4 linked regions of the Macaca mulatta genome follow. Each later gene encodes a partner of the first gene's protein in a complex. Links are inferred from orthologs where the notes say so. Each region holds a gene or a part of one and is shown on either strand. Other genes may lie near its edges. The genes, in order: EID3, NSMCE2, NSMCE3 and NSMCE1.

The links.
Region 2: EID3 (region 1) and NSMCE2 share a complex: the UniProt entries of both Homo sapiens proteins name them as parts of the SMC5-SMC6 complex. The link is inferred for Macaca mulatta from reciprocal best matches to the Homo sapiens genes EID3 and NSMCE2.
Region 3: EID3 (region 1) and NSMCE3 share a complex: the UniProt entries of both Homo sapiens proteins name them as parts of the SMC5-SMC6 complex. The link is inferred for Macaca mulatta from reciprocal best matches to the Homo sapiens genes EID3 and NSMCE3.
Region 4: EID3 (region 1) and NSMCE1 share a complex: the UniProt entries of both Homo sapiens proteins name them as parts of the SMC5-SMC6 complex. The link is inferred for Macaca mulatta from reciprocal best matches to the Homo sapiens genes EID3 and NSMCE1.

Annotation. Positions count from the first base shown.
Region 1 is NC_133416.1:111,527,368-111,534,878, forward strand, and holds the start of EID3 (EP300-interacting inhibitor of differentiation 3), read left to right. Parts: upstream 1-3,366; 5' UTR 3,367-6,202; coding exon 6,203-7,318; 3' UTR 7,319-7,511. UniProt on the Homo sapiens protein: Tissue-specific component of the SMC5-SMC6 complex, a complex involved in repair of DNA double-strand breaks by homologous recombination.
Region 2 is NC_133413.1:135,524,367-135,531,871, reverse strand, and holds the start of NSMCE2 (E3 SUMO-protein ligase NSE2), read right to left. Parts: upstream 4,923-7,505; 5' UTR 4,885-4,922; exon of another isoform or gene 4,827-4,884; intron 47-4,826; 5' UTR 1-46. UniProt on the Homo sapiens protein: E3 SUMO-protein ligase component of the SMC5-SMC6 complex, a complex involved in DNA double-strand break repair by homologous recombination. Is not be required for the stability of the complex.
Region 3 is NC_133412.1:9,159,823-9,166,685, forward strand, and holds NSMCE3 (non-structural maintenance of chromosomes element 3 homolog), read left to right. Parts: upstream 1-2,776; 5' UTR 2,777-2,870; coding exon 2,871-3,770; 3' UTR 3,771-4,378; downstream 4,379-6,863. UniProt on the Homo sapiens protein: Component of the SMC5-SMC6 complex, a complex involved in repair of DNA double-strand breaks by homologous recombination. The complex may promote sister chromatid homologous recombination by recruiting the SMC1-SMC3 cohesin complex to double-strand breaks.
Region 4 is NC_133425.1:26,812,445-26,820,007, forward strand, and holds the start of NSMCE1 (non-structural maintenance of chromosomes element 1 homolog), read right to left. Parts: upstream 4,746-7,563; 5' UTR 4,136-4,745; exon of another isoform or gene 4,049-4,135; intron 58-4,048; exon of another isoform or gene 1-57. UniProt on the Homo sapiens protein: RING-type zinc finger-containing E3 ubiquitin ligase that assembles with melanoma antigen protein (MAGE) to catalyze the direct transfer of ubiquitin from E2 ubiquitin-conjugating enzyme to a specific substrate.

The sequences.
Region 1 (7,511 bases):
GTTATTCAAAGGCTCTTTTGGATACTAGACTTAAAAGAATCTGCTGAAATCTAAGGAGCTATTCCTGAGAAAAATGCACATAAGTAATTTTGCATATAAACTCAAACTGTGGATCTGCTTCAGAATGTCTGGTACAGAGGTTTACCCTTCTAAGTGTTACTTACCCTTCTAAGTGTTACACACTTTGAATAGTTGAAGCCTTAGTAGGTTTTTAAAATTTTGTTATATGGCAAATTTCTTTTCACTGGTATTTGTTATAGTGGAATATATTCCTGTGTTCCTCCTTACTGATTTAACCTTTAAAAATGTTTTTCTGAGCCGGGCGCGGTGGCTCACGCCTGTAATCCCAGCACTTTGGGAGGCCGAGGCGGGCGGATCACAAGGTCAGGAGATCGAGACCACAGTGAAACCCCGTCTCTACTAAAAATACAAAAAATTAGCCGGGCGCGGTGGCGGGCGCCTGTAGTCCCAGCTACTCAGGAGGCTGAGGCAGGAGAATGGCGTGAACCCAGGAGGCAGAGCTTGCAGTGAGCCGAGATCGCGCCACTGCACTCCAACCTGGGCGACAGCGTGAGACTCCGTCTCAAAAAAAAAAAAAAAAAAAAAAAAAAATGTTTTTCTGGGGCCAGGCGCAGTGACTCACACCTGTAATCCCAGCACTTTGGGAGGGTGAGGCGGGTGGATCATGAGATCAGGAGTTTGAGACTAGCCTGGCCAACATGGAGAAACCCCATCTCTACTAAAAATACAAAACTTAGCTGGGCATGGTGGCGCACGTCTGTAATCCCAGTTATTGGGGAGGCTGAGGCAGGAGAATCACTTGAACCCGGGAGGCGGAGGTTGCAGTGAGTCGAGATCACACCATTGCACTCTAGCTTGCACGTCTGTAATCCCAGCTACTGGGGAGGCTGAGGCAGGAGAATCACTTGAACCCGGGAGGCAGAGGTTGCAGTGAGTTGAGATCACACCATTGCACTCTAGCTTGCATGTCTGTAATCCCAGCTACTGGGGAGGCTGAGGCAGGAGAATCACTTGAACCCGGGAGGCGGAGGTTGCAATGAGTCAAGATCACGCCATTGCACTCTAGCTTGGTCGATCGAGTGAGACTCCGCCTCAAACAAATAAACAAAAAAAATTAAAAAAAATTTTTTTCTGGCCGGGCGCGGTGGCTCAAGCCTGTAATCCCAGCACTTTGGGAGGCCGAGACGGGCGGATCATGAGGTCAGGAGATCGAGACCATCCTGGCTAACACGGTGAAACCCCGTCTCTACTAAAAAAATACAAAAAACTAGCCGGGCGAGGTGGCGGGTGCCTGTAGTCCCAGCTACTCGGGAGGCTGAGGCAGGAGAATGGCGTGAACCCGGGAGGCGGAGCTTGCAGTGAGCTGAGATCCGGCCACTGCACTCCAGCCTGGGCAACAGAGTGAGACTCTGTCTCAAAAAAAAAAAAAAAAAAAAAAATTTTTTCTGTTCCTAAAGCAACATTCAGAAGTGAAACTACTGGTTTGTATATAGTTTTTAAATATTTGCTATCTTTGGGATTGTTTGATTTATTAAGTACCTACTTAGTAGTTGAAAACACTGTCAGATACATTACATAATTTTCATTCACTATAGTAATTATATGGTATAAATACAGTTGTCCCTTGGTGTCCTCAGGGGATTGGTTCCAGGACCCTTGTGTATACCCAAATTCATACACACTCAAGTCCCAAAGTCTGCCCTGTGCAACCAGCATATATGGAAAGTCAGCTCTCCATATTCACAGGTTTCACATCTCACAAATACGGTATTTCTTTATTTCTCACAAGCTTTTTCCTCTTTAAGGAGCAGGCAGACCTGGGTAAATGCTGTATTTTTTATCGCTTTGGTATAAGTGGATCTGTGCAGTTCAAAGCTGTTTCCTTCAAGGGTCAACTGTAGTAGTATTCCTGTCTTATAAATAAAGACACTGGAGGCTGAGAGGTTAAGCAAGCTGGCTAAGATAATACTAATAGCTAATAGGTCAAGATTGGAACCTAGATTGTCCCCTCCCACAGTCTGTGGTCTTTTCAAAAACAAATTTTCATTAAAAAAATACATCTGTCTTATCATAGCAAAGTTCACCTTTAATAATAAAAAACAAAGAAAACACAAAATATGTACACACAAACATAACTTTAAAGAAAATTAAGATGAAAGAGAAACTGCCAGGCATGGTGGCTCACGCCTGTAATCCCAACACTTTGGGAGGCTGAGGCGGGCGGATCACAAGATCAGCAGTTCGAGACCAGCCTGGTCAACTTGCTGAAACCCCATCTCTACTAAAAATACAAAAATTAGCCTGGTGTGGTGGCTCGCGCCTGTAATCCCAGCTACTTGGGAGGCTGAGGCAGGAGAATTATTTGAATCCGGGAGGTATAGGTTGCAGTGAGCTGAGATCATGCCATTGCACTCCAGCCTGGGCGACGAGCAAGACTCCGTCCCCAAAAAAAAAAAAAATTAAGATGGAAGAGAAACTATACCTAATGTCCTGCTAACTCTGGCAAATCAAACTAGGACTTTTACCACATGTCTTCACAACTCAATATTAAACAGATGCCCTGGTGGTATGAAGGAAGAAAAGCTGCTATGAAAGAAGGAATAGAAAAGTTTAGGGAGGTAGCTGATAGGATAAGTGTGTATGTTAGTGTGTGGGACTCAAACTTGACTGATTCCTGGCTTTGGCTCCAAAAAGTCTATTAAAAATCCATTTGTTATAGATAAGTCTTACAGCAAAATCTCACTGGAGAAAAATAGTGGACTCCATGTGACTTCTTCCTTTATTTGGTTACAGGGAGACATGTGACCTTTGTCATCCACCCTGTCACGTTTGTATTGAGCAGTATGGGTTGTGGAAAAGAGCTCAGAATGCTTGGAATTAACCTAAACTCCTAGAAAAGGAACTGAAAATATAGGAGAAAAGACTGAAGAAAAGAGGAAAGGAAATGGAGGGTTGTATTGAACCCTGACTAGCAACTCTTGAGCGAAGAAAGAGGAAAAGGGGGGAAGAGGGGAGCTAAATTATCTCTGAGGCAACTCAGTCTTATGGCTGCCTGAACTAGTCTATACTGTGGGAATAAGGTAGACTCCATCGATTGCTGTGAAGTACCAGTGCACTTCTTGCTCTCTATTCCTAGTCACAGACAAATTTATCAGCAGTGCAGTTTCTTCTTTTTAAGCTTCATTTAAATAATTATTAGTAGCACTTGGACCTTAGGTTAGGAAATCACTGTTTAATGATTTAAAGATTAACCAGCATGGAAATCCCATTCTTTATATGATTGGGGAAAATTATTAAACTTGAGATTGTTTCACTTTGTAGCAAATGTCTAAAGGCAGATTTTTTTTTTTTTTTTTTTTTTTTTGTGGAGTTGTTTCCCTCTTGTTGCCCAGGCTGGAGTGCAATGGTGCCATCTTGGCTCACCCGCAACCTCCGCTTCCCAGGTTCAAGCAATTCTCCTGAGTAGCAGGGATTACAGGCATGTGCCACCACGTCCAGCTAATATTCTATTTCTAGTAGAGACGTGGTTTCTCCATATTGATCAGACTGGTGTCAAACTCCTGACCTCAGGTGATCCACCCACCTCAGCCTCCCAAAGTGCTGGGATTACAAGTGTGAGCCACTGCGCCCAGCCTAAAGGCAGAGTTTTTTTTTTTTTTTTTTTTTTTTTTTTTTTGAGACGGAGTCTCGCTCTGTCGCCCAGGCTGGAGTGCAGTGGCGCGATCTCGGCTCATGCAAGCTCCGCCTCCTGGGTTTACGCCATTCTCCTGCCTCAGCCTCCTGAGTAGCTGGGACTACAGGCGCCCGCCACCGCGCCCGCCTAATTTTTTGTATTTTTAGTAGAGACGGGGTTTCACCGTGGTCTCGATCTCCTGACCTTGTGATCCGCCCGCCTCGGCCTCCCAAAGTGCTGGGATTACAGGCGTGAGCCACCGCGCCCGGCCTAAAGGCAGAGTTTTAAGGTGGAATATGATGCAAGTCTGCCTTTCTTAGGATGATCTAAGTTACATGTTAATAACGTACTTGGAGATCTAGCATAGAATGCACTCAGCACTGTAAATCACAACTTAATAATGCTTGCCTTGATATGCTCTGTTGCTCTGAGCAAATTGTGTGGGCTGTTATCTCCTGAGAAATCCCTGTAAATGGTATTAGTAATACTTTATAAGTAGGTTGGGAGAATATAGTTTTCTAAGGCATTTTGAAATTCTTAGATGAAAGGTTCTTTATTAGCAAATTGGTGTCAGCCTATTTTCCTTCCTCGGAGCCTGGAGAAAATAGGCACCATAGGGTGGGAAGGGTTGGCTTGTCTTCGTAAATAGCTATTGTTGAATTTAAAGTGGATGTGAGCAACTCCTAAGAATATCGTTCACTGTAAAAGCAGACTTTTTTGGATTTGGGTCTTGGCATTCTTAGCTGTATTTTCACCTAAGATTTAAAACAAGTTTAAATACTGGTTTGTAATTGGCCAGACTTGGGAAAGATATGATCCTTTAATGATCCTGGGTCTCAACTTACCTATCTCTCATTGTTTCTTTATTTCAGAAGAGGGATAAGAACTTTTTCTGAAGAGCAGTCAACTTTTCCTTTCAGTGTATAGGATTACTTCCACGAATCTGTGAACTTAATCTTTGCTGCCAAAAAACTTACAGTAGATGCTGGGACAGTTTTAAATCTATTTTAATTTATACATTCAGTACATAAGTGCATCCATGTAAAAACAGCTATGTTTGGAAGATGTAAAACCCAGCTTTTGTTTTTGAGAAGCCGACAATCTAATAGCATAGGATCATATATACGTACAACTAACCGTAATGCATGGTGTTTTGAAAAATGCATGTATTTCCCTGAATTACCCCTAGTTAATAAAATAATTGGGGGCAAATGGTAATATAAGGATTTTGGAGTAACTTAATACTACTAGATTTTGCTGTTTATGCATTTGCAAAAAACCTTCTGCTAATGCTAAATACGAACAAGTCTATCTGCATAAAGGATGGTAGGGCTAATTTACTTCCTGGTGCTGTGAAACTGGACAGGTGCAGTTGTGGGTGTCTTTTTTTTAAGGTGCACCTGCTGCAGGTTTGAAAAGCTGTTGATGCCCATGGTTTGGTTGTGTGCATGTTCTCTTTAAAAACCAGATGTATTAATTACAGTTGTTAAGTATACTTTGCTATTTGCTACTGGTGAGACAGATAAGCGGAGTCCTGTGGTTAACTGCACTTGAGTTTCCAGTGACCCCATTAAATCCAATGGGTAAATTTTCCAACGCAGATTAGTCACCCAGTTTACAGATTAAGCTTTCATATCCTTAGATTGTTTCTGAAATCTTCATAGCTTTGCTCACCTTTTAGGGTTCAGAGTTCTTACCCATTCAGTGTCGGTGGCCTTTATATGTTGGCAAGCTTACAAGCAAATAGCTCTTTTGCAGAGATCTCTACCCATCATTCTATTCTTCCACTCCTGGATGGTGGAGAACCAAAGTTCACTTGAGTAATGCGAGCACTCAGTTTCCTGCAGGGGTTAGCACGCATACTGGAGGCTCCCCCGACCCCACAGATCTTCGGGATGGGGTGATGGAGGGGGTTTGGTTTTTAAAGAGGACCTGTGAAAGTAATTAACCCGATTTACATTTGTATAATAAGTCTAAACACCACCTTGCAAAAGAACTGAGAGTTCAGCCTGTTTAATGGAGTTTCTGCTTTTCACGGGCCTTGGCCTTACCGGCGGTTACAGTCCAGCCAGATTTAGTTCACAAAAAAACAAAACCCTCGGTCGACCTCACTGCGGTATATGATGGCAGCGATCGTTTTAAAGCGCAGGACCTTTAGTGTCCTCAACAGTTTTGTCTCAAGTTGTCCAAAAGTGTTTTTTTTAAAGTGAGGTGATCCAGTCGGTAAACGCTTTGAAAAAGAACAGCTGTGCCCTGAGCGGGCATAACTCGCGTTTGGGGTCGGGGCCCATTATTGCGCGTGTTCGGAGCGCGGCGCTTGCCTATGAGCGAGCGCCTCGGGTCGTGGTGCATCCGGGCCGGGGCGGGGCTGTCTTCCCGCGGAGCGTGCTGGGGGCGGGTCGCGCCGGGCCGGGCCGCTAATGCGCATGGGCGGGCGTCCGCGGCTCCAACTGCCGCCAGTTTCCACAAGCTGGGAGGGCCGTTACCTCGGAGATACCAGTGGCCGGCATGTCGGTTGAAAAAGCTTCCCGCAAGGGAGACGACGAGAAAGGAGAGGAGCAGCTCGTGGTCATCCCTAGTAGCGAGTACGCGGCGAAGCCGGCGGCGGCGGAGGGAGCGCCGATGAAGATGGATGTGGCGGTGAGGGTCACGGGCTGCTCCGACGACCTCAGCTCTGGGGATGCCGACATAGACCCAAAACTCCTGGAGCTCACCGCTGACGAGGAGAAGTGCCGCAGCATCCGCAGGCAGTACCGGCAGCTCATGTACTGCGTGCGGCAGAACCGGGAGGACATCGTGAACTCGGCGAACAACTCCTTGACCGAGGCTCTGGAGGAAGCCAACGTCCTGTTTGATGGAGTGAGCCGAACCAGAGAAGCAGCCCTCGACGCCCAGTTTCTTGTCATGGCTTCTGACTTGGGTAAAGAAAAGGCAAAGCAGTTAAACTCTGACCTGAACTTCTTTAATCAGTTAGCATTTTGTGACTTTCTGTTTCTGTTCGGGGGTCTGAATTGGATGGAAGGCGAGCCTGACGACTTGAGTGATTGTGATGATAACATAGCTCTTTCCTTCTGGAAGGCAATGGAAAAGGAAGCAACATCCTGGATGGTAAAAGCTGAGACATTCCATTTTGTTTTTGGTTCATTCAAACTAGAACCTTCTGCACCAAAGCCCCGACTTGAACACCAGAAAAAAGTTCGCAAGATGGAGGAAAATGGGAATATGCCTACAAAGTTGCGGAAGCTGGACCTGAGTAGTTATCCAGAAGCGACAGAAAAAAACGTAGAAAGGATTTTGGGATTGTTGCAAACCTACTTTCGAAAGTATCCTGATACTCCTGTGTCCTATTTTGAGTTTGTGATTGATCCAAACTCTTTTTCTCGTACTGTGGAGAATATATTTTATGTTTCTTTTATTGTAAGAGATGGTTTTGCAAGAATAAGGCTTGATGAAGACAGGCTGCCAATATTAGAGCCGATGAATGTTAACCAAATGGGTGAGGGAAATGATTCCAGTTGCCATGGTAGGAAACAGGGAGTCATATCTTTGACTTTACAGGAGTGGAAAAACATTGTGGCAGCTTTTGAAATTTCTGAGGCTATGATTACATACTCCTCATACTAAAGATTTCTTAGTATAGGATCCTTTTTGTGTGTTTTTCTGAAGTTATCTCAAATGGAGAGTCAAATGTAAACTGAAGCACATATTGTATGTCTTGTAAAGTGAAAAAGTATCTTCAAGAACATCAGACATTGTTTTACTGTGCAGCATATTTTTCTTAGTAATTTATAAGGTCATGATCTTCTCTTATTAAAAA
Region 2 (7,505 bases), on another chromosome or scaffold:
AACCCTGGAGGCGGCAGTTGCAGTGAGCTCAGATCACAGAGCGAGACTCCATATGAAAAAAAAAAAAAAGGATTCCACACAGTACTATACTTGTAATACACATTTGGTAGTAAGCTTCCTAACAATCAAAATAAAAAGTGGCAGTTACTTTGTCCATTTAAAAAAAAAAAAAAAAAAAAAAGAACACTAGGAACTCAAGAAAAAATAAAGCTTTCCATGGCAATCAAGGCAAGTATGGATCATCATATATGAGATAATGAGTTACACTGAAAAAAATAATCCTCGAAAATATCCTTACAGTAAATGCAATAGCAAACTTCTAGGACTGTTTCTTGAGACTATTTATCAGGGCAGGCTAAGGACAAAACACTTGTGACAGATACTGCTAGGTGCCCACCAAACCCATTTCCTCTTCAACCCAGTCATATGCCTATATATGCTCCACATTTTGCAGCCTTTCTTGAAGTAAGGTGTGGCCTATGACTGCACCCAAGGCAATGAAATGTGAGCCATTTCCAGGCCTAATCTGCAAAAACCCACACTTTCCCATTTGATAGCTTGATGCAGGCAAGCACAGTGACCTTAGTAAAGCTACACACTGATGATAGAGAATTACCAGATGGAAGGAGCTCAAGGCCCTACATCACTACTTGGAGGAAAACTACTCACCTATCAGGCTCCATGCATGAAAGAAACTTCAACTGGGCAAAGCCATTTAGACTTGTGGGGTTTACTTGTTACAGTACTATTAATAAAAAAAATACAAACCTGCCAGGACCAAATGATATAATTCAAGTATTCAGTTTTCTTTCTTTCTTTTTTTTTTTTTGAGATAGAATTTCGCTCTTGTCCCTCAGGCTGGAGTGCAATGGCGCTACCTTGGCTCACTGCAACCTCCACCTCCAAGGTTCAAGCAATTCTCCTGCCTCAGCCTTCCCAGTAGCTAGGATTACAGGCACCCACCAACATGCCAGGCTAATTTTTGTAGTTTTAGTAGAGGCAGGGTTTCACCATGTTTGCCAGGCTGGTCTCAAACTCCTGACCTCAAGTGATCCACCTGCCTTGGCCTCCCAAAGTGCTAGGATTACAAGCATGAGCCACTGCGCCCGGCCTCAGTTTTCTTTTTTTTTTTTTTTGAGACAGGGTCTTGCTCTGTCACCCAGGCTGGAGTGCAGTGACATGATCATGCTCACTACAGCCTCAACCTCCCAGGCTCATGTGATTCTCCCACATTAGCCTCCCAAGTAGCTGGGACCAGAGGTGTGCACCACCACATTTGGCTAATTTTTTTTTTTCTTTTTTTTTAATTTTTAGTAGAGATGACCATCTCCCTATGTTGCCCAGGCTGGTCTCAAACTCTTGAGCTCAAGCGATCCTCCTGCCTCTGCTTCCCAAAGTGCTGGGATTATAGGCATGAGACACCATGATCAGCAGAAGTATTCTGTTTTCTAGTCGGTCTTGATTCTAGTATAAGTCTAAAGTGTCTAGAGAGCATTGTCCAATAGAACTTTCTGTGATGAAAATGTTCTATGATCTGCACTGTGCAATATGATAGGCACTAGGCACATGCGTACTGACTACCTAAAATCTGGCCGGAAAGGTGGCTCATGCCTATAATCCCAGCACTTTCGGAGGCCAATCTGGGAGGTTGGCTTGAGCCCAGGAGTTTGAGACCAGCCTGGGCAACAAAGTGAAACCCTGTCTTTACTGAAAATAAAAAAATTAGCTGGATGTAGTGGTGCAGGCCTGTAGTCCCAGTTCCTCAGGAGGAGATGTGGTAGGATCACTTGAGCCAGGAGGTTGAAGCTGCAGTGAGCCATGATCACACCACTGCACTCCAGCCTGGGCAACAGAGCAAGACCCTGTCTCAAAAGAACAAAAAAAAAAAAAAAAAAAAGGAAAGAAAAGAAAAGAAAAGAAAAGAAAATGAAGAGATGGCAGGGACTGTTCTCTCTCTCTCTCTCCCTATCACGTGAAGACACATAAAGAGAGAAGCCATCTACAAGCCAAGAAGAAAGTCCTCACCAGAATTCAACCATGCTGGCAACCTCACCTTGAACTTCTGGCCTCCAGAATTTCTGTTGTTTAAGCCACCCAGTCTATGGTATTTTGTTATGGTAGCTTGAACAAAGACACAATATCTATGAAGATTAATGCAATCCAGTATAAATGGAAAGTATATACCAAACAGTAGTTGTCACTACTTGGTTGAATGCAAAACTCACATTACTTGAGTGAAACTTCACTCTTGCAGAGGACCAAGGAAAACATGACCATGCTTTTCTGTAATTCTGGAGTAGGGAAAAGATTAAGACAGACTGAATTGAAAAGCAAAGACAATGGATGGTGCAGAAAGATGGAATAGATATACTTTTCTCAATTCCTCCCAATAAATACAGCTAAGTACAAGTCAAAGACAACTCCTTTCTCTGACTCTAACAGCACCCTCTTTGATATAATTATAGCCTTTGGCAGTAACTCTACTTTGTTAGTGACTATCTTGCAAGATGTTCGCAGTGCTTCATAAACAGCAAGTGCTCTGAAACTATCAATAAATGAATAAACTGCTTCGGTCAGATGCACAGCTCTCGTGTTTCCTTCTCCCCTTCATACTCAATATTCTTGAACTCACCTCCAGACTTTGTCCAGGCTGGGCGCGGTGGCTCATGCCTATAATCCCAGCACTTTGAAAGGGCAAGGCAGGAAGACTGCTTGAGGCCAGGAGCTCAAGACTAGCCTGGGCAACACAGCGAGACCCCATCTCAAAAAAAAAAAAACAAACAACACAGACATGGTGGCTTGCACTTATTGTCCTAGCCCCTTGGGAGGCTGAGGTGGGAGGACCCCTTGGGTCCAGGAGTCCAAGGCTGCAGTAAGCTATGATCATGCTACTGCACTCTAGCCTGGGCAATAAGAGTGAGACGCTGTCTCCAAAAAGGAAGAAAGGACTTTGTTCATCCTGCTCCCACCGTGAGAAAACCATCTCTTCAGTTTTCTTTCTTTTTATTTATTTATTTTTTGAGACAGAGTTTCGCTCTGTCGTCCAAGCTGGAGTGCAGTGGCATGATCTCGGCTCACCTCAACCTCTGCTTCCTGGGTTCAAGGGATTCTCCTGCCTCAGCCTCCTGAGTAGCCGGGATTACAGGTGTGCGCCAGAACACACTGGTTATTTTATTTATTTATTTATTTATTTATTTATTGTATTTTTAGTAGAGACAGGGTTTCGCTATGTTGACCAGGTTAGTCTCAAAACACCCCACCTCAAGTGATCCGCCCTCCTTGGCCTCCCAAAGTGCTGGGATTACAGGTGTGAGCCACCGCACCAGGCTCTTTCTTCAGTTTTCTATCTGCCCACATCTTACCCATATGCTAAAGTCTGAATGTTTGTGTCACCCAAAATTTATATGTTGAAATCCTAACTCCTAAGGTGATGGTATGAGGAGGTAGGGCCTTTTGGGAGGCGATTAGGCCCACTTTCATGAATAAAATTAGTGCCCTTTTAGAAGATGCTCCAGAGAGCTGCTTTGCCATTCCACCGTGTGAGGACACAGCAAAAAGCCACCTATGAACCAGGAAACAGGCCCTTGCCAGACACTAAATCTGCTGGCACCCTGACCTTGGACTTTCCAGCCTCCAGAACTGTGAGAAATAAATTTCCGTTGTTCGTAAACTACCTAGTTTATGGCATTTTGTTATAGAAGCCCACACTGACTAAGACACCATCTCTCATGGCTTGGTTTAAGTGGTTCTCAACCAAGAAAGATTTTACCCCTCTCCCAAGGGACATGTAGCAATATCTGTAGACATTATGGTTGGCATCTAGTGGGCAGAGGCCAGGGATACTCTCAAACGTCCTACAATACACAGGACAGCCCTCACCCCCACCCCACAGGAAAAAATTATCTGGCCTAAAATGTCAATAGCGCATCAGTTGAGAATAACTGATTTAAATCAATCTCTCTTGGATCCCTTCCCATGTAATAACACTGATCTTTTCTTCCCAATACCTATGATCTCCAAGAAAGTTTAGAACAAGTTGTGCATTTCCTGAGTTTTTTCTCTGCATGTTATTTATAGACAATATGCTGACTTCCTTTAAATCCACGGGAACCTTGTACAAGTCAGCCAGAGCTGCCTCTCCTTTTTCAGCATGCAAGGATATACCCTTCTCTCTGAATCCTTCTCATACAATTGCTTGTTCCCTCCCTCATGCTACCATTATTCCTATCACATGCACATGTACACAACACACTCCCATTATGAAACTCATCACAACTATTTGCTCACATGTCTGCAGCTTCTTTACACTGAAAGCTCCTTAAACTAGAACCCTGACATATTCTATTGCATATAAAGCAGTTCTTCACACAAAATAGGGGACCAATAAAGATTTGGCGAGTTACAAAAATAACAACAGACATCATCATTTCTCGGTCACCTACAGAATGCCATAAACTGGTGTCCTGGCACTTCATTCTCCTTATCGCTAATTCTCACTGCAATCTACATAAGTGAAGAGGAAACTGAGGTCCAGAGAGTTTATTCAAACGACCTTCCCGTGGCCTTACTTTTAAAGTCAGTTCAAACCACATCTATTTGGATCAAAAATTCGTGATCTTGCCCTTACACACTTGTGGCTAACGGATGGAGAGATGGCGCCTCGGACAGGAGGGTAAACTGTCCCAGACTCACTACTGTGGCGTGAAAAGGGCCACAACCATAATCCAGGTCGACGAATTCCCGGCTCGGGGTCCCCGTGGAGTGTCCCTGAGGGAGGCGACAATTCCCGCCACCTTCCCCATTGCCGTCCCCCGCTTCTTCCCTACCTGGTTGTCCGAGTTGTCTCCGTCTGGTGGCACCCCAACTTCCCCTACTTGTACCCACCTCCTTTCCTCAGCCCCCTTCGCCTGTAGCTGAAAAGTGAGCGGGGGCTCTTGCGTCATCATCCGTCGCCGGCGAGTGGTCACATGATGCCCCTCCCTGCTCACCGCCGCTTCGGTCATGTGACCGTCCTGGAAGTCAGGGGCGGAAGCCGGGCTCTGACCCGTTCCAGGTCCGGGACTGGGGATAGAAGAGGACCGCCGCCGTGAGGGAGGGGTGGAACCTGGGTGCCGACTCCGCGCGCAACCTCCTGCCCTGCGCGTGCGCCGCTGGCGCGGCCCGGCTGACAGGTGAGTGGGGATGGGATGAGCGCACCCCATTTTTGCATGGCCCCCTTCACCTCCCCGCTGGGCCGCGCTGGCCCTGGGGAGGTCTCCAGCGTCGCGTGCAGCCTGGACGGGGGACTCGGGATGGAGGGCTTAGGGGCTTTCTGGGGCGGGGGCTGCAGTCCAGCTCTTCGTCTCCGCTTAGGGGGAAAACATTTTGCACACTCCTTCCTCGCTTTAGGAAGCACCGTTCAGCTGGCTGCTTGGTCCGAATCTCATCCTTCCAAGTTTCCGGGAACACTGCTGTGTGGATGTCGTCGTTATTTCTCTCTTTGCTTTTGAGAAAACTGAAAGGCTAGTAGTGAGGACTTTTACAGCCTGACGGACCTGGATTTGCATTCTAGTTATGCCATGGGCTGTGAGTTTGGGCAAGTCATTGCTGCTCGCTGCGTCTTAATGCCTTCACCTGTGCTAATGCCAAAATCCTTTGCATTTTGCGTGGGGGGGAAATGTTCCCAAGGCCCTGATTCCTCTATGATCGGACAGGAAAAAGAAAAAAAGTCACAGAGTCGTAGAACTGGGTCTCCTGATTGCAAGCGCATGGAGCTCCCTCAAACATAGGTGAAGGGTAGTGAGGGAGAAGTTTTCCTGTCTTTGTGCACAACAAGGGACACCTTCTCTAATTGTCCTTCACCTGCCTTTCCCAGGATTTCAGGTTCAGCCTCATGTCAGAACTTTTCTGGAAAACATATGCAGCTTGCATTTATTCTGACCGACAACCATTATATTTTGTTTGTGATAATGGATTTGTGGAGATCAGTGCTTCCTTTATGGAACTGAGGTTTTGCGAAAGGCTAAATATAGACCTACCTTCTTTTGTCCTCTGAAGGGGGTAAACAGTGTTTGTCCACGACAATTCGATTTCCTTAAGAAATATTATTCTGCACTCTGGGTAATTGGTATAATGATGCCATGCCTCATTCTTGACAGCATGTCTTTTGATTAGGATTACTTCCCAAACTGAAAATCACAGTTCCACGCCAAATTCTTAAAAATGAAGTTACTGGCGCTTGTAAAAGAAAATAAGAGAATATAGTGGGATCTCTGGATTTCATGCCGATAGTAATACAGCCTGTATTGAGAGAGCTGATCTTCAAGTTTTCTTAATCCCTAGCACGAAGAGAACCTCTGAAAGGATAATTTACCATAGCTTCTTCTACAGAGTTTAATTGGACCTAATTCTAAAGTGGTTTTTTAAGACTTAACTGAGTCTTAACACTTTGTAAAGCCATCCACATACCTCTTAGCTGCAACTTGATTAGGCATTTTTAATGATGGTTCTTAGATTCTGTTCTTCAGGACCAGTCCTTCGGCCAACGAGGGGGCTATTTAACAATTACTCTAGCCAAATTATATTTGTGCAAATTATGGAAATTCCATTTGTTACATGGAAAATATAACTAGTCCAGGTTAGGAGGTCTAGTACGTAAAATGTAACTAAGTGATTTCCTTCTTTCATTTAATCTTGTTTTAACTTCTTCCATCTTCAAAAACTTAGCAGGAGATGCTTGCATTATTAGAAATAGAAAACACAAGTGCCCTTCATGGGGCCAAACAGATTACAAGCAGTGAGTTCATTTCACTAAAAGTATATTAAATATAACATATTTTGCTTTCGCGTTAAAAATTTAATATAAAGTTTATATATTGAATTTTAGAAAGGCGATTTATGTAGGTAATAAAGACCCATAATATTTGTTTTACTATTGCCAAACATATTTGATTATTATTATCCTTCTCATGTTCTTTTAAAGTTGTCTACAATGTAATTCTTGAGTAAGGACCTAAGGATTAAAATAAGAGATTGACACACGAAAGTCTTGATTTCGGTCGTTATCCCAGACTGAAGCTTCCCTGAATGTGTGCATGCAGGTGCTGAGTCTGTCTGTCCTTCTGTATGTTGGGAGAGAGTAGAGTAAAGGGAAGGTAATGTTACTTTGCTTTAAGATGTTTTTCCCAGGTCTACATTGTTGCCCTGTCATGGTATCCAAAATCAGGTAGCTCTTGGACCTGTTAATCATCGCTTGCCCTCCTCTTCATGAGTCTAGAGCAAGCTTGTCTAGCCTGAGGCCCACAGGCTGCATGTGGCCCAGAATGGCTTTGAATGTGGCCCAAGACAAATTTGTAAATTTGCTTAAAACATGAGTTTTTTTGTGTGTGTGTGTTTTTTTTTAAGCTCATCAGCTATTTTTGGTGTTAGTGTATTTTATGTGTGGCTCAGGACAATTCTTCTTCCACTATGGCCCAGGGAAGACAAAGATTGGACTCTCCTGGTGTAAAGTTTCATCCTACTTAGAC
Region 3 (6,863 bases), on another chromosome or scaffold:
ACCTGATGCTGCCCCTCCCTTTTGGAGTTTTGGCACAACTGCCCAGCAGTTCTTCCTGGTAAAAGACTACCAACCATGGAGTAGTTAGGGCCAGTCTATGGAAGACATGCAGTCAGGGTTTTCATGTCCTCTGCTTCACCTTCTGATATCAGAGGGTCCGAAAACTCCTACCCTGGATCATGCTAACACTGCCAGTTTTGGAATATGGGTCCCATGGAGAGGCATGAAGTGCAGTTGCGCATGTGCACGTTTCTCCTTGCGTAAATATTCATGACTCCTCCTATAGCTTATTAAATATGTATACTTGGCCACCCCACTCTGCATAGATTCGTGCTCCCTTTGCCCCTCCGTTGAAGTGTCTGTTTCTGGCTTCTAGCATGAGGTTTTGCTTCCCAGGCTGTTGGAATGGCCACCCTGCAGACTGCAACCCTCTATGAGAAATAAAGCTCTTTCCAAATTTATGAACCTCATCATCCTTCAGTTGACACTAACAATAAAGTAGAAAAAATATAATATAGTGTAATAAGTTATATTGTGATTTCTCTCTGAAAATATCTTAATATTTTCAGACTGTTGACTGCAGGTAACTGAAACCAAAGAAAGTGAAACTGCAGACATGGAGATGGAGCAGCAACTACTATATAATCATTGACTGTTGTCGTTTATATTATTGTTACTAATGTTAGTATTGTTTTCACCAGTTTCTCCCCAAACATCCATAGCTTCCAGTATTAATCCAAGGTGGAATGTGGGTCTTCTTCTCCATGCAGAAGAATGTGGGACTTCTCCATGCAGGGCCTAAACTTCATTCTAATACTAACGCTAATACTAATACTAATACTAATTCTAATTCTAATACTCTTATTTTATGTGTGCATTTTCTCACCTGCATTCCTCTGGACATGGCGTAGACAGATGTTTTCAGACTTACAAACTGGCATCTCTTCTCCTCTATTTTGAGTAATGACAGTCTGCTGTCTAGGTAAGAGTGCTGCTAGAGGACACTGCTGATTTTCACAGTCATGGGGGTAGCCTGATTGGTGGACTGCTTGGTGACGTAAGTGAATACCTTAGCAAGAAACAGCATTGAAAAACCAGCCCAATTGTTGACAATAGCTTTTATTTAATTTTCCACTTTCCCCTTATATCTTGGTCACCGAACTTTTTTGACTCAAGGTAGACCATCCGCATCCTGTGGTAGGGACCTTTTGCAGAATTCTAGATGGCAGGAAGCTTTTATGAACCTAAGTCCAAATTTTAATTTGCAAGGAAACTGAAGCAGATGAATTTTCTCATTGTAAAAAAATGAATACCTTGATAATATATTTGTTTTTCGTAGTAGGCCTTTGTCATTAAGCTTGATGCCTGAGGATATAGTTGTATCTTGTGTGGAACAGTAAGTTATTACTCACTGCGTATCAGATTTTAGCATACTTGCATTAGTTCATGGAATATGATTTTACATTTACTATAGCAGTTCCAGTGCCATTATCAGATTGCATTTTCCTACTGAATTACAAACAAATGTGTTATGCTACTAACATTTAACAAAATTTTAATAAGGTTGTGTTTGATGCTATTATTCAGATAATGTGTTCTAAATTGCTTTCCTTTGAATATATTTGCATTAAAGAGGAACTCGATTTGGTTCTTTGAAGAGTTTATCCACTTTCTGGGTAGCTTTAAAAAGACACAGGGAAATTCAGTTTCTTCTTTGCAAGTCAATAAATAGAGAAGAAACAAATTTGCTAAGATCTATAGAAGTAATGGCAGCAGATTGCTGATGGTTTGAGTTAATGAAATGACTCATTTTGGCTACTTGAGTTGCACAATTAAAATATACATAGACTGCACACATCATAGATGAGGGATAAATACCCTTGTGTTCTCTTTTCTTTCTCAAAGCTAATATATTATGAATTAAGAAATTTAAGAGATCCACATTATTGCAATTCTTGATCAGTGATGCCCAAAATTAAGTGGTAATCTCTTGAGAGTGCACGTTTGCAGCATTCCTCTTACGCATTTCTGCTAAAATTGTGGCTGTGAGCCGAAGACAGTTGTTTTCCAAAGGATAAACTCATTTGACCAAGCTAAAACATTTACTTAATATTGACAAGTTTTGTGGGGTTTTCTCATAGTTGTCTAGCTAAAGGAGTTTAATGCAGAGAATACACATACGGAAATAGTGAAACCGAAGTCCTGCTTGCGCGGAAAGCCTGCAGCAGACTTTTGTTTTTAACAAACTCCACGGGGCATTAGAGAAAGTAACTGGGGGCAGTGGGTTGGAGGGTATAAAATTGAGCGGAGGGACGAAAACTAAGAGCCCTCTGGGTTTTTTATATCCTTCTACATGTTGTGTAGAAATAAATGCTTTTACTTCCACGGTCGTACCTTCCTCTTCACCTTTTTTTTTTCTTTCTCACACATTCATCCTGTGAGATCTTTTCATTTACAAATGCTCCCGATTTAGAATTAGAAACTCATAATACCGTCTGTAAAACTTGCCTGAGCCTGTCTGGTCCTGAATTTAGCGACACACTTGTTTAGGAGTTTCGGTTCTCGTTCTCTGCTTGCATGGTTTAGTAAGAACAACACTTCGATATACTGAAATTCACCGACCAGACCTGCAGGGCTGCACAGAAATATCTGATGCTTTTGGTACCCCCAGCCCCGCAGCCGCGCAGGCGCACCGCCCAGCCGCCGTGACGCAAGGCGCAGGCTTCATGACGCGGCACGCAGTCTCAGCCGACACTGCGCGCCCCTTCTGGGGCCCCGCCCAGGCAGCGGCCTTAGCGGGTCGCCGACCCACGATCCCAGCCGCGGCTGCTTGCTTGCCGGAGTGTGCACCGGTACGCGTCGCCGGTGACATGTTGCAAAAACCGAGGAACCGGGGTCGCTCTGGCGGCCAGGCCGAGAGGGACAGCGACTGGAGCCGTGGCGGAAACTCCGGGGCCTCGCGGGCGGGCGAACACGCCCGGGCCCGCAGAGACGGCTTCGCAGAGGAGGCCCCGAGCACTTCCCGGGGGCCGGGCGGCTCGCAGGGGTCGCAGGGCGCCCGCCGGTCCCAGGCCTCCCCCGCCGTGGGCCCCAGGACCCAGAAGCAGCAGGAGCTGAAAGTGTCCGAGCTGGTGCAGTTCTTACTGATTAAGGACCAGAAGAAGATTCCGATCAAGCGGGCCGACATACTGAAGCACGTCATCGGGGACTACAAGGACATCTTCCCCGACCTCCTCAAACGGGCCGCCGAGCGCCTCCAGTACGTCTTCGGTTATAAGCTGGTGGAACTTGAACCCAAGAGCAACACTTATATCCTCATCAACACCCTGGAGCCGGTGGAGGAGGATGCCGAGGTGAGGGGTGACCAAGGCACGCCCACTACGGGCCTCCTGATGATCGTCCTGGGGCTCATCTTTATGAAGGGCAACACCGTCAAGGAGACTGAAGTCTGGGACTTTCTGCGGCGCTTAGGGGTCTACCCCACCAAGAAGCATTTCATTTTCGGAGATCCAAAGAAACTCATTACCGAGGACTTTGTGCGACAACGTTACCTGGAATACCGGCGGATACCCCACACCGACCCCGTGGACTACGAGTTCCAGTGGGGCCCGCGAACCAACCTGGAAACCAGCAAGATGAAAGTTCTTAAGTTTGTGGCCAAAGTCCATAATCAAGACCCCAAGGACTGGCCAGCGCAGTACTGTGAGGCGTTGGCAGATGAGGAGAACAGGGCCAGACCTCAGCCCAGTGGCTCAGCCCCATCCTCTTGAAATCTGAGGTGGATTCAGAGGGACCCCCGGGACAAGGGTCTGAGACCCAAAGGCACAGTGCAGAGGAGCGGGGGAAGGGAGAACGAACCCAGGAAGCGTATTTCTGTAGCGTTTCAATGTGTGTAGCTTTAGGATGTGTTTGCAAAGTTTTGTTCTTTTAATGTTGTGTTATTTGGTTCCAGATTTTCATCTATAAACAAAAGAGCATTTGTTTTGCTTTGATTTTACTTTTTTTGGTATAAAAAATTTTCCTAGCTTAGTAAAACGAATTGGAAAACTTGACTATGATCTGAAACAGATATGCCAGAAGGAACACATAAGTAAGTTGCTTTGGTGCCAAGAAAATAAAAAAGTAGCTATTATCGGGTCTCTTAAGCATCCCAGTTTGTAAGGAAAAATAAAAGTCTTTATAAAATTAAAAATAAAAACGTAATTGCCTATATCCTTATTACCTTAACCTATTTTATTTTTTCTATATTTCCTACATATGTAAGTATTATTCATGGTTCCAAGCAATGAACGTGGTGTATTTTCTCCAAATAGCAATTGTTTATATTCATAATTACTCAGCTGTGTTGCTAAACATGCAGTTCCACTTAGTTTTTTTTACATGCTACTCTAGTTATTACAATAAATACTGTATTTTTGAAGCACTGAAGCATTGTGTGTGTTTTAAATCGTGGGCCATGAGACAATTTCATGACGAAATCAGCGTCTTAAAGTTTTTGCAACATATTGAGGTCAATGTTGTTTTGTAGAAGTTGTTTTACTTTTGTGTGTGTGTGTACAGGATCATGAGGTAAAATATATTTCTACTGTGGATACCAAAAAGGCTTATAAAACAATAGCGTAACCATTAACCATGCCTGCTTGGGAATCAGACTGCCTGGGTTCAGATCCTGGCCCCACCGTCACTAGTATAGGAATTTACGTAGGTTCCTTAGTTTGTATGCAGATGTTTCTTGACCTGTAAAATGGGTTTAGTCCCTGATGTGGAGGAATTTGCTTGTTATTCTTTAATGTTTTTATTTTTTATTCTCGGTCTGGAGCTGCCACTTTTTAAATACAACTTTTCTTTATCTTGTTTTCCAAATGATTCCTAGGAGAGCAATTACTGGTTCAAAAGGTATATTCCACTAGTCTGACTCTATTGTATGGGGAAATAAGTATAAAGTGTATGGTGAGTATAGCCCACATAGAACAGTGAGAGCAGGACATAAGATCAACCTCATAGGGAGTTAGGTATAGGGAAAAGGTGTGGGTCTTGGGGCTGTCTGGCAAACTGAATTTGAATTACGGCTCATGCTAACTTGTCAGCATGGTGATATGGTGGTAGGTTTTAAGCTGTCTGAATCTCAGTTTCTTTACCTGTAAAATGAAAAAAATTATAGCTATATAATAGTTTGTTTTATGGACTAGATGAACTAGAAGAGTTCATAGTCCCATTGTATTCCTCCATTACATGTAGCAGATGCTGTTTTTAATGCAGAGATTCAACACGTTTTATTCAGTGGGTAAATAAGTATAATTGTTTTAGGGGGAGGTGCTGCAAATTAACCTTGAAATAAGGCAGATATTTTTCACTCGGGGGGGGAAAAAGTGAACTTCATCAACACTGGACTGAATGTCATTTAAAAGAGTCTATAGTGAGTATGGAGGAATGTGATAGGTTGCTGGGTTTTATTTCATTCTGTTGAATTGGGATTTGCCTTTGTTTCATCAGTGGAAGATGTTTGGTCCTTATAGGCATTTCTTCTTGATCTGCATTTTATTTCAGTGTATAAATTGCTTCCTGCCTCCTGGTCCCGTGACCTCCCTGACTCAGCTTTCTCCTCCTCGTGCCCTCTGATACTCACATTCTCACCTGTATAATAAAAATTGTTACCCTGCAGTCACCACCGGTTATATCTGAGGCAAAATTCCCTCCGCTTTTCTCAGAGGTGTTAACAATTTACCATCGATAATCTTGTTTCAAATTTTAAAATATGAAACATAAGAGGCCACATCAAGGCCTTATATCTTTTCCTTCTCACCCTCCCCAGAGATAACAAAAGTCTGCGGCTATCGGGCTGTTGTATGACTGTATAATTTTACTACACATGTATAGATACATAACCAATATAGAGTTTTATTTTGTGGGCTTTCATGATTTATATAAACGGTATTACGTGTGTCCTTATGCAACTTGCTGTTCTCACTCACCATTATGTATTTGAGATTCAGCCATGTGGATATATATAGACCTGATTCACTCATTTTAATTGTTCTTTTATGGGGGAAAAATAACTTTATCCATTCCTTAATGGCTAGACAGTTAAGGTCTTTCCAGTTCTTTGAGATTTGCAGGCATTGTACAGTACTTCTTTAGGCACATGTGTGAGTTTCTCCAGCCAGAAACAAATGGAGCAATCAGGGACTATTGCCAAACTGTTCTTGAGCTTGTGTCAAGTTACACTCCTACCAACATTTTACACAGTTTTGTTTTGTTTTTGTTGCCAATCCCTCAACCTTCACCCACTGTGAACACTTGGCCTTTTCAATATCTTTTCAGCCATTTTGGTGTAGTGTGAAATAATCATTTATTACGGTATTAACTTGTACCTGTTGCTTACTAGTGATGTTAAGTATCTGCCTATCTTTTACTCTCACTCTTTTTGACTGTCAGGTTTCATGTCTTAGACACATTTCTATTGATTTGTAAGACATCTTTATATGTTCTACATGTTAATCCATGGTCTGCTCTATCTATCTAGTGCAAATACCTTCTCCCACATTTTCACTTCTTTTGGTCATACAGATCATTTGACCTTAATGTGTAACAATCATCAGTGTTTATAAGAGCTACATTTGTGTATAGTGCTTTAAAAAATTCCCCTAATCCTAAAATTGTAAAGATGTTTTCTGCATTTTTCCCCTAAGTTCAAAGTTTTGATCTGCACATTTTATGCTTTTAATCTGCTTTTGTGTATGATGTGAGGCATGGAAATAGTTTTTGTGTTTTTTCCTATATGGATAGCCTAGCACCAATTTTTCATCATTTATTCTTTTCACACTGATTTATGACACTCAGTATTCTATAGCAATGTCCCATCT
Region 4 (7,563 bases), on another chromosome or scaffold:
AAAGGCAGGAGGACTTGTCCTACCAGCTATAAAGACTTCTCATAGTGGCTGGGCGCGGTGGCTCATGCCTGTAATCCCAACACATTGGGAGGCTGACGTGGGCAGACTGCATGAGCCCAGAGTTCAACACCAGTCTGGGCAATATGGTGAAACCCTGTCTCTACTAAAAATTAAAATTAAAAAAACATTTGCTGGGCATGATGGTACATGCCTGTAGTCCCAGGTACCTGTGATATTGAGGTGGGAGGACTGCTTCAGCTCGAGATGTCGAGGCTACAGTGAGTCATGATTGTACCACTGCACTCCAGCCAGGGTGACAGAGTGAGACCCTGTCTAAAAACACACCAAAACAAAAAAAAAGCACTTCTTATAAAGCTAGAGTAACGAGTCAAGTGTGGTAATGGTACAGAGACAGACAAATAAGACCAATCAATGGAACAGAACAGAGAATTCAGAAACGGAAAGGTACATGTACATGGATACTTGATGGTGGAGGGAAGCAAACTTTCCAATAAAAGGTGCCAGGAAAACTTGTTATCCATATGTGAAAAAAATGAGTAAAATTTGATTCTTACCTCACACTATACACAAACATCAATTCTGAAGGGATAAGGTCATAATAAGGAAAAATACTCTAAGACTTTTAGACAATATACAGAATATATTTATCACCTGAGGGTAGGGAAAGATTTCTTTAAGAGATACAAAAATTACAGGTGATACAGGAATATACTGATAAATTTGACTTTTGTTAAAGTTAAGGGCCTGTATTCACCAAAAATACCAGAAAGGTGGGGGTTAGGGGATACAACTGGAGGGTATTTAAAACAAACATAAGCTACATAATACAAAAGATTCATATTCAGACTATATAAGGAATTCCTACAAATCAGCATGGGAAAGGCAACTGTGAAAGAGGAATGGGCAACAGAAATTTTACAAAAAGAGGATGCATAAATGATGAATAAATACAGAAAAAAGATGCTCAATCTCAATGTTATCAGATAAATGATTATTAAAACCACAGTGAAGGAATGTCTTAGCCAACACCAGATAGGCAAAAATTTTAAAAGAATGTCTGAGGCTTAGGCTGAAACTTTCATCTGTTTTTCATCTGTTGCAGGAAGAGTATAAATTCTTTTTTTTTTTTTCTTTGAGATAGGGTCTCATTCTGTTGCCCAGACTGGAATGAAATGACACAGTCATAGCTCACCGCAGCCTTGACCTTGTGGGCTCAGTCGATCCTCTGATCTCAGACCCCCCTAGAAGCTGTGACTACAGGCACACACCACCATGCCCAGCTAATTTTTGTATTTTTTGTAGAGATGGGGTCTCACCTGTTGCCCCAGCTGGTCTCATACTACTGGACTCAAGTGATCCACCCAACTTGGCCTACCAAAGTGCTGGGATTACAGGTGTGAGCCACCACACCAGGCTGAGTATAAATTACTGTAACCATTTCAGATAACAGTTGATATTACTAGCAAATTTGCATATCCCCAGAAATCTATTAGGTATATACCTTACAGAAACTTCCACTTTTGCGCTAGGAAATATGTTTTTACAGAAGCACCGTGTAATAACAAAAGTCTGGCAACAGTATAAATGACTACCAACTGAAGAACTACATTAAAACAATGTAATTATCTCATAGAATTCAAATCAGCAATGAAGATAAAGTAGAGCTCCTCACATCAACACACATGCTTCTCAAAAAGATAACGTTAAGTGCAAGAAGCAAGTCACACAAAATATATTTTAGGATCCTATCATATAAAATCGAACTCAGCAAAAGCATACATTATATTCATTAGAGATACGAACATACATCGCAAAAACTACAAAGCAAAACAAAGGAACAAGTAACACAATATTCAGAGTGGTAGTTATCTTTGAGGAGGGAAGAAAGGATTCAGTGGGGGGTTTGGGGATCTGAAAATGTCTATTTCTTAACTTGGTGGCAGGTACATGAGCGTTCATTTCATTTTTGTCCTTCAAACTTATACTTCCACACAATTGTATAGGTATGTTACATACAATGTTTTTAAATGTGATGGGCCGGGCATGGTGATTCACACCTGTAATCTCAATACTTTGGGAGGTCAAGGTGGGGGGACTGCTTGAGACCAGGACTTTAGGACCAGCCTAGGCAACATAGCAAGATCCACTCTCCACAAAAAAAAAAAAAAGTTACGTGAATATGTTAAATAACAGCCAAAATAAATGTAAATGAGAATGAGAACAAGATATGATTGAATGCTATGATTTGGTGGAAAAGGGGCGGGAAAGTAGGAGTGGAAGAAAGACAACCATAAGTTTGTTTATGCATATTGTATCCCTTGTCTCTATGAGAAGAGACTGTGGAGAGAATGGTGGGATTAGCCATAGACATACATGTATCACCTACTTAAATAATTCTATTTTATACAAAAATTAGCCAGGCATGGTGGTGCACGCCTGTAATCCCAGCTGCTCAGGAGGCTGAGGCAGGAGAATCGCTTGAACCCAGGAGCTGGAGGTTGCAGTGAGCCAAGATCGCGCCACTGCACTCCAGCCTGGGTGACAGGGTGAGACTCCATCACAAAAAAAAAAAAAAAAAATATATATATATATATATATATATATTTGTATTAATTAAAAGTTTATTGGCTTTAAATGTACATCAGTAAATTTTTAAATGCTAAGAATTTATGATAAAAGAATACCGAACCAAAACATCAAAGAAAATAGAGGCTCAGCAGCATGATTTCAACATATTTTCCTGGATAAACATTTATTTTTTTTAAGTCTATGCCTTTTTATTTAAGAACAAAAACTCCCTAAATTCAACGTTTAGAATTGAATTTTTTTTTTAACTAAGCCCAGAAAAATGGGGCTCATAAAATAAAGGCACAATGTGGGCAGCAAAAGAAAAAAGGAGAAAAAATGGGAGAAAAATTGGTTTTAATCCCATGTATAACATATTGTCTTGTTTTGTTTTTGTTTTAGACAATTTAAGGCAGAATTATCTCTCTGCAACCCTGCAGATAAATCCTAGTATTTTAGCTTTAAGTTTCAAGAGTTCAGATATACAGATAAACCAACTAAAGAAAACCTTTTCTAAGGCTTTGAAGCATTATATAAATCTTTAACATTCCTATCACCCACATTTTAAGAAATACATCTATACTTTTAATTAATTAATGCATTTAATTCATTTAATAATACATTTATTTAAATTTAATAATTTTGAAATATAAATGTTTGTGGAATAAGTAAATCTCAGTCATACCATTCGTGCAGGTGCTAACACAATTCTTGTGCTTCACATGCACGACATCATTTAACCCCAACCAGCACCTTATGAGCAAAGGATCACTGACCCCATCTTACAGATGAGGAAACTGAGACTAAAAGGGCACAAGGTGACACACAAGAGTTGGTGGCAGAGAGAGACGTGACCATACAACAGCACGGTTCCTGTTCTCAAAGACACTCTCTTATCCAGTGAGAGTGAGAAAAGTGAGTGAACAGAACAGCTACAATCCAGGTCCCTCATCTGCAACCCTCAAATCTAAAAAGGTATGAATACTAGTGGATGATCAGATGCAGGGGAAAAAAAAAGTCTGAATACCAAAACTTGTTTCTTACGTTGGAGAACTTGACCTGACTTAAGGTGAGGCTATCCATGGTTATTTATCCCAACAGTGTAAATATATGCATATCTTTTTTTTTTTTTCAGACGGAGTTTCGCTCTTGTTGCCCCAACTGGAGTGAAGTGGCGCGATCCTGACTCACTACAACCTTCGCCTCCCTCGTTCAAGTGATTCTCCTGCCTCAGCCTCCCGCCTCAGCCTCCCGAGTAGCTGGTAGTACAGGCACGCGCCACCACGCCCGGCTAATTTTTTGTATTTTTAGTACAGGCGGGGTTTCACCATGTTAGCCAGGCTGGTCTGGAACTCCGGACCTCAGGTGATTCGCCCGCCTCAGCCTCCCAAAGTGCTGGGATTACAGGCCTGAGCCACCGCGACCCGGTCAATATAATATATGCATATCTTCATATCTTTAGCTGTGGAAAGGGTCGTGTATTTGATTGCAAGCCGCTGCTCCAGCCCCCACTGAGGGTGAAACCTAACATAGAACATACGCACTTTACCTTTCCAAAGTCCGAGAAATCCTCGATTTTAAACGCATCTGGCCTCGGGGCTGTAACACAAGCGGCTGCGGACTTGTACAAAGTGAGAAACTCCGTACACAAAAACAGAGGGGAGCACGGAGGGCGGCGGGACAGACAGGGTGGTCGGCGAAGGCTGTGTTTTCCATAGATGTAATCACAGTTTGAATCGAATTTTATATTTTGCTTTTTCACCTATTACAATGAAAAGTATCCTTACCTGTTAAATCGTAATTACGATTAAAAATATTTTTCACTAAATAGTACGATTTTTAGATGTCTTTGTGTGTGTTGTGGGAGGAGATCCCAGTCCGCTGCCTTCTGCGGCCCCTCTCTGGGCCTCAGTTTCCCCATCAAGAAGGGGGAGCCCCAAGACCCCCGTCCCCGAGTTCCACAGCCCACGAGGATAGACCACGGGGCCAGACCCCACTGCCTGTCTCGCCCACCCCACCTTCCGTCCTCCCCTCGCCTTCCTCGAAGTCCCTCTTCTTTCCCCTCTACCCCCTAGCGCGCCGCGTTACCCACCAGGGTGCCCAAGCGCAACCCGCGCTGAGCTAGCGGATACGGTCGCAAGGCGGACTCTTCTTCCTTTGGGGCGGGGCGAACGCGAACGCGGCGTTCCCGTTGGTGGCCTGCAGACGATTCGCCCGTCCGTTGGGTGACGCACTTCCGGTTTTCCGTTTGCGCCGTTTCCCTAGTGTTTCCGCCTCGTGGGTTAGATCCCAATTACTGCGCCGCTCTCCATCCTTAATAATGGGAAGGGGCTTCCACTTGTCGCCCTCCGCCTCCTGCACCTCAGTGACTTCCCTGACCAAGGAGGAAGAATCGGCGCGTAGCCCGTGCTTCCCCCACTGGCCACGATTCCGCCGGCACAATGTAGTGCCCTGCCCCGGGCCTCAGTTTCCCCATCAGTGGAACTGACAGTGTGGCCTCGTCGTCAAAAATGTGGACTCTGGCCGGGCGCGGTGGCTCATGCCTGTAGGCCCAGCACTTTGGGAGACCAAGGCGGGCCGATCACTTGAGTTCAGGAGTTCGAGACCAACTTTGCCAACATGGTGAAACCCCCGTCACTACTAAAAGTACAAAAATTAGCTGGGCGTGGTGGTGTGTGCCTGTAATCCCAGCTACTCGGGAGGCTGAGGCAGGAGAATTGCTTGAACCCGAGAGGCAGAGGTTGCAGTAAGCCAGATCGCATCACAGCACTCGAGCCTGGGTGACAGAGCAAGACTTAGTCTCATAAAAAACAAAAGAAAAATGTGGACTCTGTGGTCATACAGCCTGAGCTAGAATCCTGGCTCTGCCACTTACTAGTTGGCAGAAGCTTGGGCAAGTCATTGAGCCTCAGTTTCCTCTTCCATTAAATGGGGATATTAGTCCTTGCAAAATAGTGTTGGTGAGATTTAGGTGCTTAGCATAGCCACTGAAAAGTGTCACATGGGAGTGCTGATTAAATGTTAACTATTATCTTACCTAGGGATTGTGAGAAAGCAAGTGAAATTACTCTTGGAAGTGAATAGACTGTTTTGAATCTTCAAGGCATTAATTTTCCAAACGTTTGTATACTATCCCTAGTCTGAGAGCTAGGGATGCAGCCTAGCAAGGGAAACAGGTAACTAATATAGAACAGCGGTACCTGCAAATGTCTGTCTCTGTGAGGATAACTCAAATACAGGCTTGGTCACTCACCACCCCTGTGATCTTGGACAACCTTTTTTTTTTTTTTTTTTTTTTGAGACGGAGTCTCGCTCTGACCCCCAGGCTGGAATGCAGTGGCGCCATCTCGGCTCACTGCAAGCTCCGCCTCCCGGGCACACGCCATTCTCCTGCCTCAGCCTCCCAAGTAGCTGGGACTACGGGCGCCCACCACCACGCCTGGCTAATTTTTGTATTTTTAGTAGAGATGGGGTTTCACCGTATTAGCCAGAATGGTCTCCATCTCCTGACCTCGTGATCCGCCCGCCTCGGCTTCCCAAAGTGCTGGGATTACAGGCGTGAGCCACCGCGCCCGGCCTGATGTTGGACAACTTCTTAACCTCTCTGGGCTTCAGTTTCATCTGCCAAGTGGGAAAGCAGTAGTGTGTGGTGATTAAAACCTTGAGCTTTGGAGCTGGATGGTCAACATAGAATCCTGGGCCTTAAACTCAGTATCTCCAAGACACAGGACAAAGTATAGTAAGCCGTCCCTGTTTATAGGTTCCCCATCTACGGATGGATAATATTTGTGGAGGAAAAACAATAAAAATAACAATACAAAAATAAAAATAATACAAATTCTGAAAGCAATACAGCATAGCAACTACTTATATAGCATTTACATTGTATTAAGTAGTATAAGTAATTTAAAGATGACTTTCAATATACTGGAGGATTTGCGTAGGTTATATGCAAATATTCTGCCATTTTGTATGCGCCCAGTGGGTTCTCCTTGCCTGCTGCCCAGACAGAAGCAATTTATCAAGACAGGAGAATTGCAATAGAGAAAGTTTAATTCACACAGAGCTGGCTGAACAGGAGATCACAGTTTTATTATTACTCAAATCAGTCTCCCCGGAAATTCAGGGTTTTCGAGGATAATTTGGTGGGTAGGGGACTGGGGATTAGGGAGTGTTGATTGGTCGGATTAGAGAGGAAAGGAGTCAAAGCTGTCCTCTTGCACTGAGTCAGTTCCTGGGTTAAGGCCAAAGTACCAGGTGAGCCAGATTACAGGGCTGGGTGGTGTCAGCTGATGCGTTAGAACACAGGTTCTACAAAATATCTCAAGCACTGATTTTAGGTTTTAGAACAGTGATGTTACTCCCAGAAGCGATTTGGGGTGGGTCAGAATCTTGCAGCCTCCAGCTTGCGTGACCTCCTAAACCATAATTTCTAATCTTTTAGCTAATTTGTTAGTCTACAAAGGCAGACCCGTCCCTAGGCAAGAAGGGGATTTGTTTTGGGAAAGGACTATTATTGCCTTTGTTTCAAAGTTAAACTATGAACTAAGTTCTTTCCAACATTAATTCAACCTATGCCCAGGAATGATCAAGGACAGCTTGGAAGTTAGAAGCAAGATGGAGTCAGGCCAGATCTCTTTCACTATCAGAATTTTCTCAGTTATGCTTTTTACCAAGGTAGTTTTGATTTTATATAAGGGACTTGAGCATCGAGAATTCTGGTATCCATGGGGACTGAGGTACCAATCCCTCACAGATACTAAGGGATGACTGAACTCAAGTTCTCAGCCTCAGTTTGCTCATCTATAAAGCAGGTTTAATAATAGCACTTTGTTGATAGTGTTATTCTGAAGATTAAAGGAAGAGAAGATGTAAACTACTTAGAAGACTGTCTGTGGCACATTGTAAGCCCTCAATAAGTGTGAACTAACACCACTAATAAGTACTTTATAAACTGCCCAACAGGTAGTCAAATAA